Arabidopsis thaliana: one gene and its partners. Each later gene encodes a partner of the first gene's protein in a complex. Each region holds a gene or a part of one and is shown in the gene's direction. Other genes may lie near its edges. The genes, in order: LSM6B, EMB2816, LSM3A and SAD1.

Region 1 (4,977 bases):
CAAAGTTGAAGACTTTACATTGGGATAAAGTTAGAGCAAGCTCGAGCCGTGTTATGGTGTGGGACCAAATCAAATCAAACTCCTTTCAGTAAGACATAACGAATCTGAATTAAAGACTTGATCTATCCTTTTGCATACACGACTAAGATATGATTCTTTTGTGTTTTTGCAGAGTGAATGAAGAAATGATAGAGACATTGTTCAAGGTGAATGATCCAACTTCGAGAACAAGAGATGGCGTTGTTCAATCCGTGAGTCAGGAGAATCGGTTTCTTGATCCAAGAAAGTCACACAACATTGCTATTTTGTTGAGAGCTCTTAATGTAACTGCTGATGAAGTATGTGAAGCTCTTATAGAAGGTGAGTAATTTCCAATCTGTTGTTGCTTAGGTTACTCGCACTTACTGCAACATTGCATTGGTTTGATGATTCCTCAAATTGGTCTGTGATTATTGAAGCTTGACTTGTTTGACTTAGTTGATGTCTAATCACTTTCTTGTTCATGAATCAGGTAACTCGGATACGCTTGGACCCGAGCTTCTCGAATGCTTGCTTAAGATGGCTCCTACTAAAGAAGAAGAGGACAAGCTTAAGGAGCTTAAAGATGATGATGATGGATCTCCTTCCAAGATAGGACCTGCAGAGAAATTCCTCAAAGCATTGTTGAACATTCCTTTCGCCTTCAAGAGGATTGATGCAATGCTTTACATTGTCAAGTTCGAATCAGAAATCGAGTACCTTAACAGATCCTTCGACACTCTCGAGGTAAAACTCTACTTGTCCACCTCATAAGTGTATGTCTGCTGATCAAACAGATCATTCATATGCATTTGATCAAACTCTCAGGCTGCTACTGGTGAGTTAAAGAACACGCGGATGTTCTTGAAGCTTTTAGAAGCCGTGCTCAAGACTGGGAACCGGATGAATATAGGAACCAATAGAGGGGACGCACATGCTTTCAAGCTCGACACGCTCTTAAAACTGGTAGATATCAAAGGCGCGGATGGGAAAACCACCTTATTGCATTTTGTGGTTCAAGAGATCATAAAATTTGAAGGAGCTCGGGTTCCTTTTACTCCGAGTCAAAGCCATATAGGCGATAACATGGCCGAGCAATCCGCATTCCAAGATGACCTAGAGCTCAAGAAACTCGGGTTGCAAGTCGTTTCAGGTCTCAGCTCTCAGCTGATTAACGTCAAGAAAGCAGCGGCAATGGATTCAAATTCCCTCATCAACGAAACAGCGGAAATCGCCAGAGGAATAGCGAAAGTCAAGGAAGTAATCACGGAGCTAAAGCAAGAAACAGGTGTAGAGAGATTCTTGGAGTCAATGAACTCGTTCTTGAACAAAGGTGAGAAAGAGATCACAGAGTTACAATCTCATGGAGACAATGTCATGAAGATGGTTAAAGAAGTAACAGAGTATTTCCACGGGAACTCGGAAACTCATCCTTTTCGCATTTTCGCTGTGGTCAGAGACTTTCTGACGATTCTTGATCAAGTGTGTAAAGAAGTTGGACGCGTAAACGAGAGAACGGTGTATGGATCCATGCCACTACATTCGCCATCGAACCAGACCGCCACGCCTCTGTTTCCGGTGGTTATCAATAACAACTCACGGCTAAGTCCATCGGGTTCTCTAGACGACGACGATGGCTCGTTCTAAGTGAAAACTGTTGGCTCGGGTTTGGTTCGGTGTATGCTAATGTTTTGGTTTCATTTGCTACGTACTCAAGTAATATATGTGTTATACATATTTATATTTTTATTGATAGGCGAATTTAAATAGATTTTGGCAGATTGTTGCAAGTTGCTATCATCGGGCTCTGTACGTGTTCCAGTCCTCTGTTGAATTATTTATGTCACGTGTAGATGTATTTATTGATCTAAACCTAAAACGATAGAAGAACTAAAGTCTTGTGAAAAGTTAAATTATTGCAAGCTATACTATTTACAAAATGTAAAAAAAGAAACTGAAATTATTCTTTTGTTTGGTTCACATTAGGCATTTCCAAATTGCTGATGTCAAACATCTTTGCAAAGTTCTTCTCCCAACGAATTTTGAAAATTCACCATTTTCACGATTAAAATTTTAAAATTGACTAAAAAGTTTTAATCTCGCACATAATTAAACCACAATAAAAAAACTTGGACTTCGGATTGTTTTCCATGTGGGCTGATTCGAATTTGGGCTTGGGCCTTTTTAATTGTAATTTTATTTTTACTTATTTGTAAATGCGTCACATGTCTTCTTCGCTCTGTTCGGCTGCTTCATCGAGCGGAAGTCTCTAGCCAATTACCGTTTGTTCGTGGACTCGAGGTTCGTTGTTCTTAGATTTCCCAGACTCATCTGTTTCTGCAATCCATTTCAAAGTTTCTCTTTTTACTTAATCCAAGTCATTCGCGCATTTCCTAATTGGTCTGAGGTTTAGGGTTTTAGGGCACATAGTTTTGTTTGATTCGGGAGTAATCGTTGAGATGCTACGAGTTTGGTATTCAAGATGATTCCTTTTCTCAAGGTCTTTATGTAATTTGATTGATTTATGGATCTCGAATTGCTGACATGAATTTGTTGCTTAAAGTTGTTGGCTTTGTGGGATATTCTGAGGGGTCTTGTTTGATTTGGATCTAATTTGGTGGGCAGATATTGTGGTTTCTTAGCAAAGAAGATGAGTGGAGTTGGAGAGAAAGCTTCTGGAACAACTAAGACACCTGCTGATTTCTTGAAATCTATCCGTGGTAAACCAGTTGTTGTCAAGCTCAACTCTGGTGTTGATTATCGAGGTCTGTCTCTCTCTCTTTCTGCATTTTGTGTTCTCCTCTAAGATGTATCCAGTTCAAATTCTTTTTTTTTTTGCCTTGTGTGATGATATCTTATAGTTTGCTTCTGATTTTCGGTGGTTATTAAGCTATCGGAAGTCTATGTAAACTTCTTTATCACTTTGGGTTTAGATGTCTCAATGCCTTTCTTTCTCGCCATGTTACTGGAACCTTTGGATGTTGGTTTACAGAATGACTCTTTTCTTTGTCTAAGAACTGCTTGCTTGATTCTCATTTGATTTGAAAGTCCCATCTCTGAAGATTCATTTTTGTTGAGCTTGCTTGTTTTTTCCCTATCTTGTCTCTGTGTTTGAGAAGGAATAATACATTTCGGCTTGAGATATTTGCTTTGGATTTTGAGAAATATAATCTAGATGAGCAGGAAATTAACATACGGCTTTGAAACATATGCTTTTTGGAATTTGAGAGGAATATTAGATTCAGATGATAGCTTTGTGAATTGAGAGAGCTTCTCTCATGAGATAACAGACCCAAATGTGGTTGAATTTGAGATGCATTTACTCTTGCTTCTGATAGAATATGGACTCTCACCTTGCTATGGAGCCTTTATCACCTGAAATTAAGACCTTGGTCTCTTGAACTCTATAATATAACTTACAGGACTAGGAGAACTTCTAGCTTGAATATCTTTCTTTGGTTTATCTACAAAAGTCAGACTTATTCTTTCTTTGGCATATCATGTTGTATCAATCTACATATGACACTTTGTCTCTCTTCTTGTTTGCAGGCATTCTTACTTGTCTTGATGGATATATGAACATCGCAATGGAGCAAACCGAAGAGTATGTAAATGGCCAGCTGAAGAACACATATGGCGACGCTTTTGTCCGTGGCAACAATGGTAAAAACCAAATCACATTCATCATCACTCTTTAAATCGGTTTAGTATGTTTTTTTATATCCAATTCTGAAAAATATGCTCTATGTTGGCCACAGTTCTTTACATCAGCACAACAAAGGGGACATTGTCAGATGGAGCATAGCTCTCTTTCATCACCATGAATGTTCATCTTCTTCTCTACCTCTGGCATATGACAAATGTAGGATTTGTAGCAACCAGAGTTTATCACCACTGCATGAATTCGACATGTCTTTTTCTTCCGCAACTCAGTTTGTGTCTAAATCATCTCCAAAATTCTGAGATATAGCTAGATTTTTATTTGTTATGAAATTTTTTTTAATCACTGTTGGTCTTTGGAGCCTAATTATCGTGTTTTGATGACGCAATCACTGCGTCACAATCTGATGTCATCTTAACAATCATTAATGTATTTTTTTTTTCTTTTCTCGTAATATTCTTAATTATTCTTCGACAGCAAAGGTTTAAAAACTCCTTATTTCAATCATTAATGTATTTATGATTTGATCGAATAACAATAATATAGCTTATTTTGTTCTATTCTATCGTATTTGATTCTTCTTTCGTTTTTTTTTTGTTTGACTTAAGAAACCGATTGTTTATAGTAGTAAACATTTGTTTTTAATGTTGCTCGATTCCAGTGCACATGTCCAGGCTAGACACTTGTCGTTATAAAGGTTGCTTTGGTTCAATATTGATCCACTAGAGATGTTACAACTATTGTTGACATCTGAGATTGTGTGATAAGAAAATATGAAACTGGATTTAGTGAAAGTTACAATATATAATCATACATCATAGATAGGAAATAAGGAAATGTCAGATATACTTGAAGAATACATCAAATAGACAAGGTCCTTTTTCTTATTGTCGACTATTATAGAGCCGTACAGAACCTTTTCACGTCTTTAGTAATTAGTACATTCTCCATTTCGGCTCTCTCTTATTTTTTTTCCATCTCTTTTACTTCTCCAAATAATAACAATAAAAGCTTCGATTTTGTGTGTGTTTGTATTTACATCTTGACATCGATATTCTTTTCATCAATTTTTTACCAAAAATGTAATAAAAACAAAAAAAAACCAACGCTGAACACAGACATGGTTTCTCCATCCGTTTATATTCATCGTTTGTATGTTTACTTAACAACTTATTTCAAAATAGTACATATCATGGTTGTGTTTTTAAAAAAAGTATACAGAACAGAAAAGCACATGGTAGACAAAATAATGAAGCCAAAATTAATACAAAGAAGAAGTTCAACTTGTATTTATTAAC
Region 2 (4,411 bases), about 17 Mb from region 1:
TATCAGACTTCAATAGTTTATAATTTACTTTTCGATAACGATTATGATTTGTCCAAAAAATAAAAGTGAAACCAAAATTTAATTAAACAAGAGGGAGATTATAAAATAGTCCTCACTACGGCTGGACACGAAAAAATATCCTGAAAATTAGTGATATTTGTTATTCGATTCGTTTTAACAGAATAATTGATTTTATGATTTGCTTTCATCCAAAATATTCGGATACCCGAATTTTTTTTGTGATGATTATGGATATCCACTTTGATATATCTATTTTTTTTATATATAAATTATTTGATATAGTTTTAAAATAAGTTCCAAAACACACATTGTTGATATCACTGATCAAGAAAATGCTATTAAATTAATTCTAAAAACCAAAATCCGATAGTTTAAGATGCCACTAACATGAAAGAAAAATGACCAAACTAATAACTTAACACAATATATCCAAAGGAGAAAAACTAAAGTTACAAATACTACAAACCCAAAATATACAATTATACAAACTATATTATGATATCTACATATATATACATGACTATATATTCTAACTAGATAAGGATCCGTCCGATGGACGAATTTATTTTTTTATAACTAAAATTAAATTCAGTAAAAATAATAAATAATGACGTTGTAAGTAGAAATTATCTTTCAAAAGTAAAATATATTTATTTTTACTGTTTATTGTGTTTTTCACCACTAATATTATTGATTAAAAATTATTTGAATGAAAAATATATCACATTGACTAAAACCCTTTATATATAAAGATGATCTATCAACGTTGACTAAAAACTTTTGAAATCATGACATATGATAAAACTTTTGATTGATAACTTATTCATGATAATATTAGTTACTAATTTTGAGAAAAAAATCTATTATATTATTTATAAAATGTGATATCCGTCAATGCTGAAGATAAATGGTTTTAGTAGAAAAGCATTTTCAGGCCGATTTGACCCGACTGAGTTCAAACGGATGTATGTGGAGCTTTTACAAAATAAAGTTGACTCATTTTTAGTTATCTATTTTGTATTTACTTTATCAGCGTTGGATTAAGTAAGACAATGACAATCTTTGGAAGTTACATCGTCTCGTTGGAATACGCACAAATGAAGTCTCACTCAGGCTACGATGACCAATCCAAGCAATAGAGGAGAGATTAAGAGTCTTAGAGTCAAACTGGTCTGCAAAGAACTTTATAAAGTGATGAGGATCAAATGTAGAAGATTTGAAGATGACATAGAAGAAATTTTCGAATTCACATGTAATTATAAGTCTTTTGGTTTTGATTCATGAATAAAGTGATTCTTTCTTCGTTAATGATTGAGATTTCGGTTTAGATTTTTTTTTTAGTCTAAATTAAGGTCAACAACACGTTTGAATCTTTATTCATCTTTTTTTTACGGCTCTAATATCTCTTAATTTTACTCGATTTGGTGTTATTTAAATTTCGATTCGGCCGTTGAATACCTGAAATTTTGCTAGGTCAAGTTATTCAAATCTTTTTAACAGAGATATTTACTATTTGCGAGTTTATAAATGTGTGTGCATTTTTCGTAAAAGAATCAAAAATTTCTTTTTTGGAGTTTTGTGTCGATAGATGGTTAAGAGATTTTACCAAATGATTTACTTTACGACTTACAAGTACTTCACAAGTTCATAGTTAAATTTTAAAAGCGTTGCTCAGAATTAGAGGTGGATCAAACTTATGTTTCGTTTTAATTTTATTTTTGGTTAAATTTGTTAGTAATTGTTTTTAATAGGTTGTGCCGTTGTGGTAAATTTGCTTTGTGTTTACCAGTTATCTTGTTTTTTAAACATCTATTTTATTAGATTAAAAGTAAGGAGTATAATGACAATGCTAAATTTAGTTGTCTTTATTGTAATTTCTATTCAGATGATGTTTATTCTTCTTAGCTAACTGAACAATTGTATTACGATTTTATTAATTCCTAACTAATATCCCCTTCCAATTTTATTTCGGGTTTAGTTAACAATTTAATGTTTAGTTATCGGTTTATGGTTCAATTTACGGTTCAGTTCAAATAATATGGTAACCATGGTTAGGGATTTAAACCAGAGTCCTTTACGAGATCAGAGTTAAAAAACAAAAAGCGTCACTAGGAAGCTGCGACTATTTGACTGACTCTGATTTCACGCGACTCCTTGTGAGATTCTCCGATTGCTTCGCCTGAGTTTCTGGGTTAACTCTCCACGCCGTCACTTTGATCTTTGCTTTTCCGGTGAGGTTTCTTCATCCACTTGTTGATTTCCGAATTCACACATTTTCCGAATCCACTTGGGGCCAAAGAATTGCAAACCCTAATTTTTAATCATCAACTCTATTCTGAACCAATTTGATTTCCGTTTTTTGCAGATCTTTAGGGTTTTTGTTTAGGGAATTGTCGAAGACTCTGCTCTAACATGGTAAAGTTTAACCTAAATTGAAGTAGCAAAGTATCATTGTTATATGAGTCGAGTTAATTCTTAAGCGAGTGTTTGTTATTCACAGTCTGGAAGAAAAGAAACGGTTTTAGATTTGGCCAAGTTTGTAGATAAGGGTGTGCAAGTTAAGCTCACTGGTGGTAGACAAGGTAATAAAACAAGTGTTTCTCTCATTATGCTCCAAAGATGATGATTCTTTCTAATGTTTTCTCTGAGATTTGTTTGATAGTTGCTATGTTTTTTGCTTGCAGTGACTGGAACTCTTAAAGGCTATGACCAATTGCTTAATCTTGTTCTTGATGAAGCAGTCGAGTTCGTTCGAGGTATCTTTTATCTTACCTATATCTACTGCATTGATCTTGTTAGGCTACAATTCTCTAGTGGAATCCGCCTCTTAGTAAACGAATCTCTGTATTGCTATGAAGTTTATTACTCTGGTTCATACAGATGTCTCCATGATGCCATTGGAAGATATATGGAAATTTTGATTAGAAGAGACTGTTTGATTGCTTAATCATGTTATGTTGGTGATATGAATGGGATGATTTCATTCTCTTAGCTAGATTTTGAAACTAGAAGTGGGATCATATTTCCATAGATCTAACTCAGTTTTATGACCCTTGTGTTATGTTTTGATCAGATCATGATGATCCTTTGAAGACTACGGATCAGACAAGACGCCTTGGTTTGATTGTATGATTCATTTACCTTCTTTTTTCATTACTATAAGTGTAATCCTGTTTAGTGCAAATAATATCATTGTTTCTTCTAGCATCGTGTTATTTGTAATGGAGTTCCATAGTTTAGATGCTAAATCATGATGGTTTGTCTTGTTTTTAGGTTTGCCGTGGAACAGCGGTGATGCTTGTCTCACCAACCGATGGCACCGAAGAAATCGCTAACCCGTTCGTTACTGCAGAGGCTGTCTAAAGACTTTCTTCTCAAAGAATATGTCTCTCTATTAGTTTAACTTGGCGATTTAGAGAGTATTTCATCTAACTCTCTGGTGTGATGTTGGAAACATATATGTTCAATTTAAACAATTTGGAACATCATGGACACTTACCTAACTTCGTTCTCAAATCTCGTTGTGCCAAAGCACAAAATCTCCTTAACCAGAACTGAAGTAAACCGGAAAAATCGAATGTCTGAGTCTTCTCGTTACTGAACCATGGATTTATAAGCGAGTGATTTGAAATTTTTGAAGTTGTTTCCATAGTTTTAGTGGAGACGATGAAGTCAGTAATGTCAAAGATCAAACTTTTTAGACCAGTCGTCACGTTACGTTGTTCTTACAGCTCCACAGATCAAACTCTTCTTCTTAGCGAATTTACCAGACTCTGTTACCAGAGAGACCTTCCCAGAGCTATGAAAGCAATGGATTCATTGCAAAGTCATGGTCTTTGGGCAGACTCTGCAACTTATTCTGAGCTTATCAAGTGTTGTATATCTAATAGAGCTGTTCATGAAGGGAATCTCATTTGTCGTCATTTATACTTCAATGGTCATCGACCAATGATGTTTCTGGTTAATGTTCTGATCAATATGTATGTAAAATTCAATCTTTTGAATGATGCTCACCAACTGTTCGATCAAATGCCTCAAAGGAATGTTATTTCTTGGACTACGATGATTTCTGCTTATTCTAAGTGTAAGATTCATCAAAAGGCTTTGGAGCTTTTGGTTTTGATGTTGAGAGATAATGTGAGGCCTAATGTGTATACTTACTCTTCTGTTTTGAGATCTTGCAATGGTATGTCTGATGTTAGAATGCTTCATTGTGGGATTATTAAGGAGGGGTTGGAGTCTGATGTTTTTGTTAGGAGTGCTTTGATTGATGTGTTTGCTAAACTGGGTGAGCCGGAGGATGCTCTTTCGGTTTTCGATGAAATGGTTACAGGTGATGCGATTGTTTGGAACTCGATCATTGGTGGGTTTGCTCAGAATAGTAGAAGCG
Region 3 (4,147 bases), on another chromosome or scaffold:
CTGATGCAACCACAAAGATCTCTCACATCAAAGTCTCGAGATCATTCCAATCAAAGCAAGCTTACAAAAGCAGAAAATGAGACTTCATTTAGCAAAGCTATATACCAATCAAGAGAAGTGAAGCCAATTCCGTTATAATTCAACACCCAATTCCCTTTGTTTCAACTCCAATCCCATCCGATCATTCTCAAGTTTCATCCTTTCATTCTCCATTCTCATTCTCTCGAGTTCTTGATCCCTTTTCTTGCTAAACCTCTGCCACCTGAATCTCTGTTTCTCCAATTCCAGCAATTCAACTTGGATCTGAAGCTTCTGCTCTTCTAGCTGGAGAGTCCGCGACTCCATCCACTGCTTCTGCACCGAACCTGCTCTTCCACTCTCCGCCCCACCTTGATTCACATCAGCTTGAGAAAACGGTATTTGAGGTAAAGAGACTTTATTACACTCCAGAGAATTCACATGACTCGGATGATCTCCATCTTCATGGCTAAGGCTTGGTCTTATCTTCTTCAAAGGACCACCACCACCTCCATAATGATTTACCCTACAATCTCCATACGCATAATGTTGCTCCTCATACTCATCATGTTCATCACCATCACCATCATGATCCTCATCATCAAGATCCTCCATTTGATGTTTCCTAGAATCATCATTATCATGATCATCTCTGCTTCTAAGCGCCAACTGTAACGAACGCTGCAAAGCAAGGTCATGAGGCAAATGCAACCTATTCCCATTATGATACGAACACATCTCTTCATAAAAAAGATGTTTAGAACTCATAATCTTCCTAACATCATCCTTCTCTTTATCATTCAAGTAACCAATCGAATCCAAAAGCGCAGGATTCTCAACAACTTGACAAGATGTTCCTCTACCAAGCATATCATTAAGCTTCTTATACCGTTTATTCAAATCATTGAACTTATCCTCACATTGCTGCGGCGAAACATGATAACCTCTCTCAGCCATAACTTTAGAAACAGATTTCCACTTCCCTTTCTTCTGCAAAACAGCAAACTTTCTTCTACTACTACTATCTATACTCGAATCATCTCCTATATAAGAAACAGCAGTAATCAACAACTTCACCATCTTATCAGTCCATTTCACTCGTTGCCATGGAGATCCTTTAGTTGATCTATTAGCTTCATTATGAACACCATCACCACCTTCCTCTGTGAAACTTGGTTCATCATCATCACTCACTGAATTCTTCTCTCTTTCAGCTTTCTGTTGCTCAGACATAGACATGTTCTGATTCTGATGATGATCACAGGTTTGACCTGTAACCATAGTAAAGGGAAGACCTTCATGAAGTGGTCTAGAATTAGGATTGTGTCGATGCTGCTGATTCATGGAGTCTTGGTGATGAACTCTCATAGAACCTTGTAAATCAAATCCTCCATAAGATGAAGCTCCACTACGAACTACACCTCCTTGTGGAAAATTCCCATCCATTTTTGGATCAAATTTCTTCCTAATTCATCAGAGAAATCGAAGAGAAAACAGATCTCAAAAAGTCAAAACCTTTGTCAACAAAATTAGTACTGGATCTTAGGGGAATATTAAAGATCGAAACTTTAGGAGAGAATGAAGCAGAGAGGAATCGGGATGAAGAAAATAAAGCGGTAAATATATGAGAGATGAGTCAAAGGAAGTAAAACTCACAGAAAAAAGTTTGCTTTCGTCTTCTCCGGTCAGCTTCCTCAGGTTTCTCTTCTCTCTCTGTATATGACAAAAGGCTTTTTGATTAAAACAACCAATATAAAGATTATAGTAAATTTAGTGTAATGAAATGACCAATTGATACCTTGTGATTGGACTTAATATAGTTAAGTTCCACTAACCATGATTTATTTGCATTAGATGATTTATTATCTTCATAATACTTCGACGAAAAAAAAAAAAAGAGCTAACCATATTGGGCCGATATGAGAGCCCAAAAACATAGTAAAAGGCCGAATCGTAAGATGTTGGTTTGAAGTTTTTAGGGAACCAACGGTGGCGATTGCTTGAGCTCAGTCAGAGAGATATCGCCGAGAGCACTACAATTTCAAAACCCTCGGAGAAGTTATAATCAGAAAATGTCAGTCGAGGAAGACGCCACCGTTAGAGAGCCACTCGATCTGATTCGGTTGAGTATCGAAGAGAGGATCTATGTCAAGCTCCGATCTGACCGTGAACTCCGCGGCAAGCTTCACGTACGTTCTTAACCACTCGGATTCCAGAAACCAGTAACCAGATGTGATCTTTTTCGATTTTGAGCTCCTTTTTGAATTCCTTATTCGTTGAATTTAACACTAGTTTTTATTCTTTTCACAAATATCAAAATTTGGACCCATTTTGTTGAGTTTCAGTTTCGAAAGCCTCAGCGAGAGCTAATTGGCGTAGAAAACCTCATAATCTTGTTAAATTCTAAGACTCTCACTTTTGTTGTTGTTTTTGTGGTGTAGGCTTTTGATCAGCATTTGAATATGATTCTGGGTGATGTTGAAGAGGTTATTACGACTATAGAAATCGACGACGAGACATATGAAGAGATTGTTCGGGTATGTAATTCTCTTAGCTCAATAAGATTTATTAATCTATGTAGGCTTTAGTAGTAAGATAAACGTTTTTGGGTTCAAAATATTTCAGCTATCACAGTATCTATTGTCTATGTCTCTGTTTGAGTTTAAAGGAGAGCTTGATTCATGTAGAAGTTAATAGTGCTGGTTACATAGAGAGTGTTCATTACCAATATAGTAACTCTGTTTAGTTTCTCAAACTTGAATTTTGTTGTTTGCGCTCCAAATGTGATGTGCTAACTTCTCATTAGACTAGTGTAGAATCATATGTTCTTCTCCTGCTGATGTAACTTGCTTCTGTCAGACAACGAAGCGAACGGTACCGTTTCTATTCGTGAGAGGAGATGGAGTGATATTGGTGTCACCGCCTTTGAGGACGACCTAAATGTTCTTGTGTACTGGGATCGGAGTTAACAAATCTGGCGCTGAGTAAAAGCACTTTTTTCTGATTACTTGGCTTTTGAATTTGTAATTGTGTGGTATGTTTTTCTTTGTTGTCAAACATTGAAACCGAATGTAGCATTCGAATCTTGGTAATGGGTGCCTCGTTATAGTAGAATCAGTGTAACATACTTCGTATTGTGACTTTCTTACCGTTTACGATCGGATTTAGTTTCGTTTTCTGGTTTGGTGTAGTTTTCTCTAAAGATTTGTATACTTCCTCAAACTCATTGATTTCGAGCTCTATTATGAATAGTGATTGGTGACATATTTAGATGTGTGTAACCCTAGGAAAGACATTTTGATTAACCAAACCATCAAATTGATTCACAGTACAGGAGGCTGAAAACGCAAACAAGATTGATTTCATGAGAAAAGATTAATGTAATTGTAAGCATGTAAATTTACAGTAAAAAAAAGATTAGTGATGAAATTAAAAGTTTTGAGGTATCTATCGTAAGATATAACTTGTCATGATCACCAACACGCTTCGAGCATAGTAACAATGGAGAAGAGAAGTCTTATCTTCGTCTGGGTCTGGCTTGAACCGGAGAACCCATTGGTTGTGACTCTCTATAGTTTCTGCTTGGAGAATCAGTTGATGTTCTGGAGTAGGCAGCTTTGGCTACTGGTGGCACTGGATCCAACGGAATGGTCTCAATGAAACATGCACTGTTCAAACGGGTCTTCTCTAGCTCCAGTTGAAGCATTCCGCTTGTACATTGCTGTGCAAGAGCCTAAAGCAGCAACAGTAACAAAGCAAACCCGCTTTTAACTGAATGTGCTAGCGGTTTTAAGTATTGAAGATGGTAAATATTAAGTGGTGGTTAATGAAAAATGTTCTTACAAGGAGATCATCTGGGGATACGGATGATTGTTTGTCATCTGAAATTGCATCTTCACTGCCACGTGTTGGTTTCCTTTGATGCCCTCCCGGGTTGTTCTCAACTGTCTCGCTTATACTCTCTATAGCTTTCTCCAACACAGCTCCTTGCAGAGACTTTAGAGACTCGGTTGCATCAACCGTCAAATATGGCTTCAGTATCGTCTCAAAATACTCGAGCTGCATCCACCAGTTTGTGAAAGCAGATCAGCATCACAATTTTTTAACTATTAATCCATTCACTCAAGTA
Region 4 (3,757 bases), on another chromosome or scaffold:
ATTAAAAAAATGTTACATTTTTTATATAAAATATTACAACTACATCTAGTGCCGGCTTAGCACATGTGCTTAAGGTGCTAGGACATATGGTCTAGGGTCCAAAAAAAAAAAAACATGATATGATTACATAATAGCACTGGATCTACAAAATGTTTGAGCCGGTCCTGACTACATCACATAATTTCATGCTAATGTTTTTGTGTGTTCTTACGCCTAACGTCTTCTCTACACAAAACAAAAACATGATCATGATTTAGATTTGGCTGAAAACAGAGTTCTTGATTTGAATTTGACTGGAAAAATGTTTCTTGATTTGGTTGAAACATGTTTTCTTATTCGCCTTACTCTCGGATACCTCGTAGCTGAGAAGATATGGACATTGTTCTTTATAGAAATAATGTAAAGCACGACTTCCATACCTTCTTGCAAGGATCTTTGATAAGTTCCTATCCTCATTAACATGTGTTGCACCTTGTTTTTCGATCCTCTAAGCTTCCAAGTATATGACTACAACAACGAGATTGAATATCTAATGATACAAATGGTATCTTAACTATATACTTTCTTTTCAATTCTTCTGGTAATGTGTATTTAACAATTAATTTTGCTAATCTTGGATGTAGCTTTGCACATGGATTGCTACAGATTAGAGCTGTCACAGCGGGCTGTCCATGTCCATTAGCCCAGTCCAATAATGTCCATTTCGATATTGGACAAATAGTGTTCATGTCCACTAAGGCACATGTCCATTAACGCCCGTGCCCATTAATGTCCATGTCCAAATGGGTTGTCCAATAGGCATAACAAAACCAAATTTTAACACAATAGTATTTGCTTCAGCAAGATGCTTGAATGTTTCTTTGTAAATAATCGCTCTAGAGAGCATTAGATGTGTAGAATTCCATTTTGTGCTTACTACCAATTCTTTTTTCTGTTTAAGTAACTCATATTAGTGAGCTAAGCTTTTGATATTTGCAGTTTCATGAATACACGGTGTCAAAGGACCAAGCTTCATAGTTCATACTATGCATAATGCAGACAATGAACACTATATCAAACAATAGTAACAGAAATCGAAAGAGACCCATGTCAAAATCACTCTCAATAAGCAAAAAACAGTAACAAAAAATCATTTCGAATTGAGTAATCAAAAACCCAGATCGAATTGAGTAAAAATGACGAGAATTTGCTTACTTGAACTGGATTAGGAATCTCAGGAGGATCCATGATGTGATGGAGTTGAGATGTTGAAGGAACTCGCCGGAGAAATCGCCGGAAAGAAGAAATCGCCAAATAAGCGTCGGGGAAATGTTTTTTCCCCAAATTTATTTTTGCCCGAACACTTAAACCTAATATTTTTTGACCATTGGGCCGCCCATGTCCATCACGTCCAGTCCGCTGATGCCCATGTCCGTTAACGCCCATGTCCATTAATGCCTGCTTCATAATGGGCTTGTCCATGCCCGGTCCATTAGGCGTTGGACACGGGCCACTCGTCCATTTTGATAACTCTACTACAGATCAATCGTTCAAAGAAATAATAAAATCTCAGTAGACCTATGTTTGGAAGAAACAAGAAAATTTCATAGATCCGTATAATGGATCCATGATTCAAGATTAGCATAATTAAATTCGAAAGTAAATTGACCTTATAACTAAAGTAAAGTGAATTAGGTGGTTACAGTTTTTTCCAATGACATTGTAACATAATATCTTACAAAAGCCAATATTACTATTTGAAAGGTACTTCCGTACTAGTAATGTAGGGATTTGAGACGTGATTATTTATCCTTAATATTCTAATTAGATTGAAGGTTTATATATTAAGTTTTCCATAGTTAAAAGTCAATCTTGAAACAAAAAGATAGTTTGAGGGTTCTCTTGTAAATTTCCTAAAAGTAAAACATTAATACCCTAAAAATCGAAAAATCAGAAAAAGCTTCGGAGCAAGAAAAATCAGAGAAAATTCAAAAACCCTTCACTTGCCTCACTGTTCTTCGTCATGGCGAACAATCCTTCACAGCTTCTTCCTTCAGGTATGCAATTTTTTCTTCACATCTCTCACTTTCCACCTTCTTATATGTAAGAAAATCGAACTAGATCTGCGATTTTTTGGTTTTCAATTTTTGAGCGATTTGGTTTGTTTGTGCAGAGCTAATCGATAGGTGTATAGGGTCTAAGATTTGGGTGATAATGAAAGGAGATAAGGAGCTCGTTGGTATTCTCAAAGGATTCGATGTTTATGTCAACATGGTTCTTGAAGATGTCACCGAATAGTAAGTCTGATTTTAGGGTTTCGATTATTGCTTCATATCTTGTTTAATTGGAATGTTGCTTGATCTATTACACTTTAGGAGGTGAATCATAGACATTGAACCATGGATGTGATTATGCAGAACTTAGCCTTTTGGATTTTGTTTTTGGGTAATTGATCTCAATACTGATTTGTGAATGTCCATCACAGTTCATTCATTTGCTGATTAATGACATTTATTGTGTATGCATAGAGTCTATTTCAGCGGGGTCATATGTGGTTTCGGTGACTTGAGTTGTTTGTGGTTGTGTGAGGATTAGTTAATTGATGCTTAAACCCGTGTTGCTTTGGAGTTAGGATCTCATAGATTCAAGTTTTGATTGTAACAAATTCTTGATTGAATTGTAACTAGAGTGTGTTACTAATTTATCTAAGCATCGTTGTGTAGTGAGATTACGGCAGAAGGAAGACGGGTCACAAAGCTTGATCAGATTCTACTCAATGGCAACAACATCGCCATTGTAAGTAAAAAAACACTTGTGGTTACTCATAGCCATACGTTGTATAAACTTCCTTGTGATGAATTTTCAAGTATCTTGATATAAACAGTTGGTCATTTGAATAGTCAAATTGCTAAGAAACTGGTGTTGAAAATGTTTGTGATGCAGCTGGTGCCAGGTGGGTCTCCCGAAGATGGAGAATGAGATTTGCGAGATTTGATTGGTGTTTTCAGACTTGTGTGAGGAAGGATGTAACTTTTGGTTTTAGATTTAACACTTTGTTCAGAGAAAAGTAGTTGATTTTAAACTCAGAATGACAAAAGTTTTCATTGTTCAGCAATGTGAAAGAGCTAAAGCATCATATTTATTAGACTCAATGCATCATTACTTCTACTTATTCAAGCTCTCTTCGATGTTCTAATGACTATCCCCGTTAGCCACACGAGCGTTGGACAAGTTATCAACAGAGTCTCCCCTCTCAAAAACAGCTGCAGCTCCCATTCCAGTGCCTGTGACGTTCGCATTTTACATATACCATTAACATAGGTAATCATTGATCCAATTCAATCTGAAAAAAAATCTTATATATATACCTATGCACATTGAGATTACTCCAAAGCGGCAATCTTTTCCTCTCCGCTTCATCTCGTGCAACAATGTCGCAACACATCGAGCTCCTGAACATATAGAAAAGAACTCTATTAGCCTGTAACAAATGTTGCATTTTATTTAGTTACGACAAGCTTGGTAAGTAGTAACCTGTAGCACCCAGGGGATGGCCAATAGCAATGGCTCCTCCATTAACATTGACCTTTTCCATATCCAGCTCTAACTTCTTGCAAGAGTACACATACTGAGATGCAAATGCCTGTTTAACAATGCAACAATAAAGATTTATATGTATGTATTATTCCGAAACAGGAAAAAAACCAATGTGAAATATTTTGTTACCTCATTGATCTCGAATAGATCAATATCGCTGACGTTGAGCCCTGCGAGCTTA

What was found.
Region 2: LSM6B (region 1) and EMB2816 share a complex: the UniProt entries of both Arabidopsis thaliana proteins name them as parts of the heptameric LSM1-LSM7 complex.
Region 3: LSM6B (region 1) and LSM3A share a complex: the UniProt entries of both Arabidopsis thaliana proteins name them as parts of the heptameric LSM1-LSM7 complex.
Region 4: LSM6B (region 1) and SAD1 share a complex: the UniProt entries of both Arabidopsis thaliana proteins name them as parts of the heptameric LSM1-LSM7 complex.

The regions. Positions count from the first base shown.
Region 1 is NC_003071.7:18,147,057-18,152,033, forward strand, and holds LSM6B (Small nuclear ribonucleoprotein family protein), read left to right. Parts: upstream 1-2,140; 5' UTR 2,141-2,319; exon of another isoform or gene 2,320-2,518; intron 2,519-2,643; 5' UTR 2,644-2,668; coding exon 2,669-2,783; intron 2,784-3,567; coding exon 3,568-3,681; intron 3,682-3,776; coding exon 3,777-3,823; 3' UTR 3,824-4,239; downstream 4,240-4,977. Other genes in the region: AT2G43800 (Actin-binding FH2 (formin homology 2) family protein), read left to right, coding at 1-88, 173-360, 512-765, 847-1,665. UniProt on the Arabidopsis thaliana protein: Component of LSM protein complexes, which are involved in RNA processing. Component of the cytoplasmic LSM1-LSM7 complex which is involved in mRNA degradation by promoting decapping and leading to accurate 5'-3' mRNA decay.
Region 2 is NC_003071.7:1,177,873-1,182,283, forward strand, and holds EMB2816 (Small nuclear ribonucleoprotein family protein), read left to right. Parts: upstream 1-2,098; 5' UTR 2,099-2,252; intron 2,253-2,344; exon of another isoform or gene 2,345-2,386; 5' UTR 2,387-2,433; coding exon 2,434-2,436; intron 2,437-2,521; coding exon 2,522-2,603; intron 2,604-2,705; coding exon 2,706-2,777; intron 2,778-3,094; coding exon 3,095-3,147; intron 3,148-3,294; coding exon 3,295-3,384; 3' UTR 3,385-3,640; downstream 3,641-4,411. Other genes in the region: REME1 (Pentatricopeptide repeat (PPR) superfamily protein), read left to right, coding at 3,688-4,411. UniProt on the Arabidopsis thaliana protein: Component of LSM protein complexes, which are involved in RNA processing. Component of the cytoplasmic LSM1-LSM7 complex which is involved in mRNA degradation by promoting decapping and leading to accurate 5'-3' mRNA decay.
Region 3 is NC_003070.9:7,418,800-7,422,946, reverse strand, and holds LSM3A (Small nuclear ribonucleoprotein family protein), read left to right. Parts: upstream 1-1,989; 5' UTR 1,990-2,090; coding exon 2,091-2,207; intron 2,208-2,459; coding exon 2,460-2,555; intron 2,556-2,877; coding exon 2,878-2,958; 3' UTR 2,959-3,283; downstream 3,284-4,147. Other genes in the region: AT1G21200 (sequence-specific DNA binding transcription factor), read right to left, coding at 133-1,464; SEC5B (Exocyst complex component SEC5), read right to left, coding at 3,536-3,751, 3,862-4,077. UniProt on the Arabidopsis thaliana protein: Component of LSM protein complexes, which are involved in RNA processing. Component of the cytoplasmic LSM1-LSM7 complex which is involved in mRNA degradation by promoting decapping and leading to accurate 5'-3' mRNA decay.
Region 4 is NC_003076.8:19,811,405-19,815,161, forward strand, and holds SAD1 (Small nuclear ribonucleoprotein family protein), read left to right. Parts: upstream 1-1,941; 5' UTR 1,942-2,002; coding exon 2,003-2,036; intron 2,037-2,152; coding exon 2,153-2,276; intron 2,277-2,702; coding exon 2,703-2,775; intron 2,776-2,922; coding exon 2,923-2,958; 3' UTR 2,959-3,150; downstream 3,151-3,757. Other genes in the region: AT5G48860 (uncharacterized protein), read right to left, coding at 247-507, 1,195-1,461; KAT5 (peroxisomal 3-keto-acyl-CoA thiolase 2), read right to left, coding at 3,172-3,263, 3,348-3,431, 3,514-3,622, 3,706-3,757. UniProt on the Arabidopsis thaliana protein: Component of LSM protein complexes, which are involved in RNA processing. Component of the cytoplasmic LSM1-LSM7 complex which is involved in mRNA degradation by promoting decapping and leading to accurate 5'-3' mRNA decay.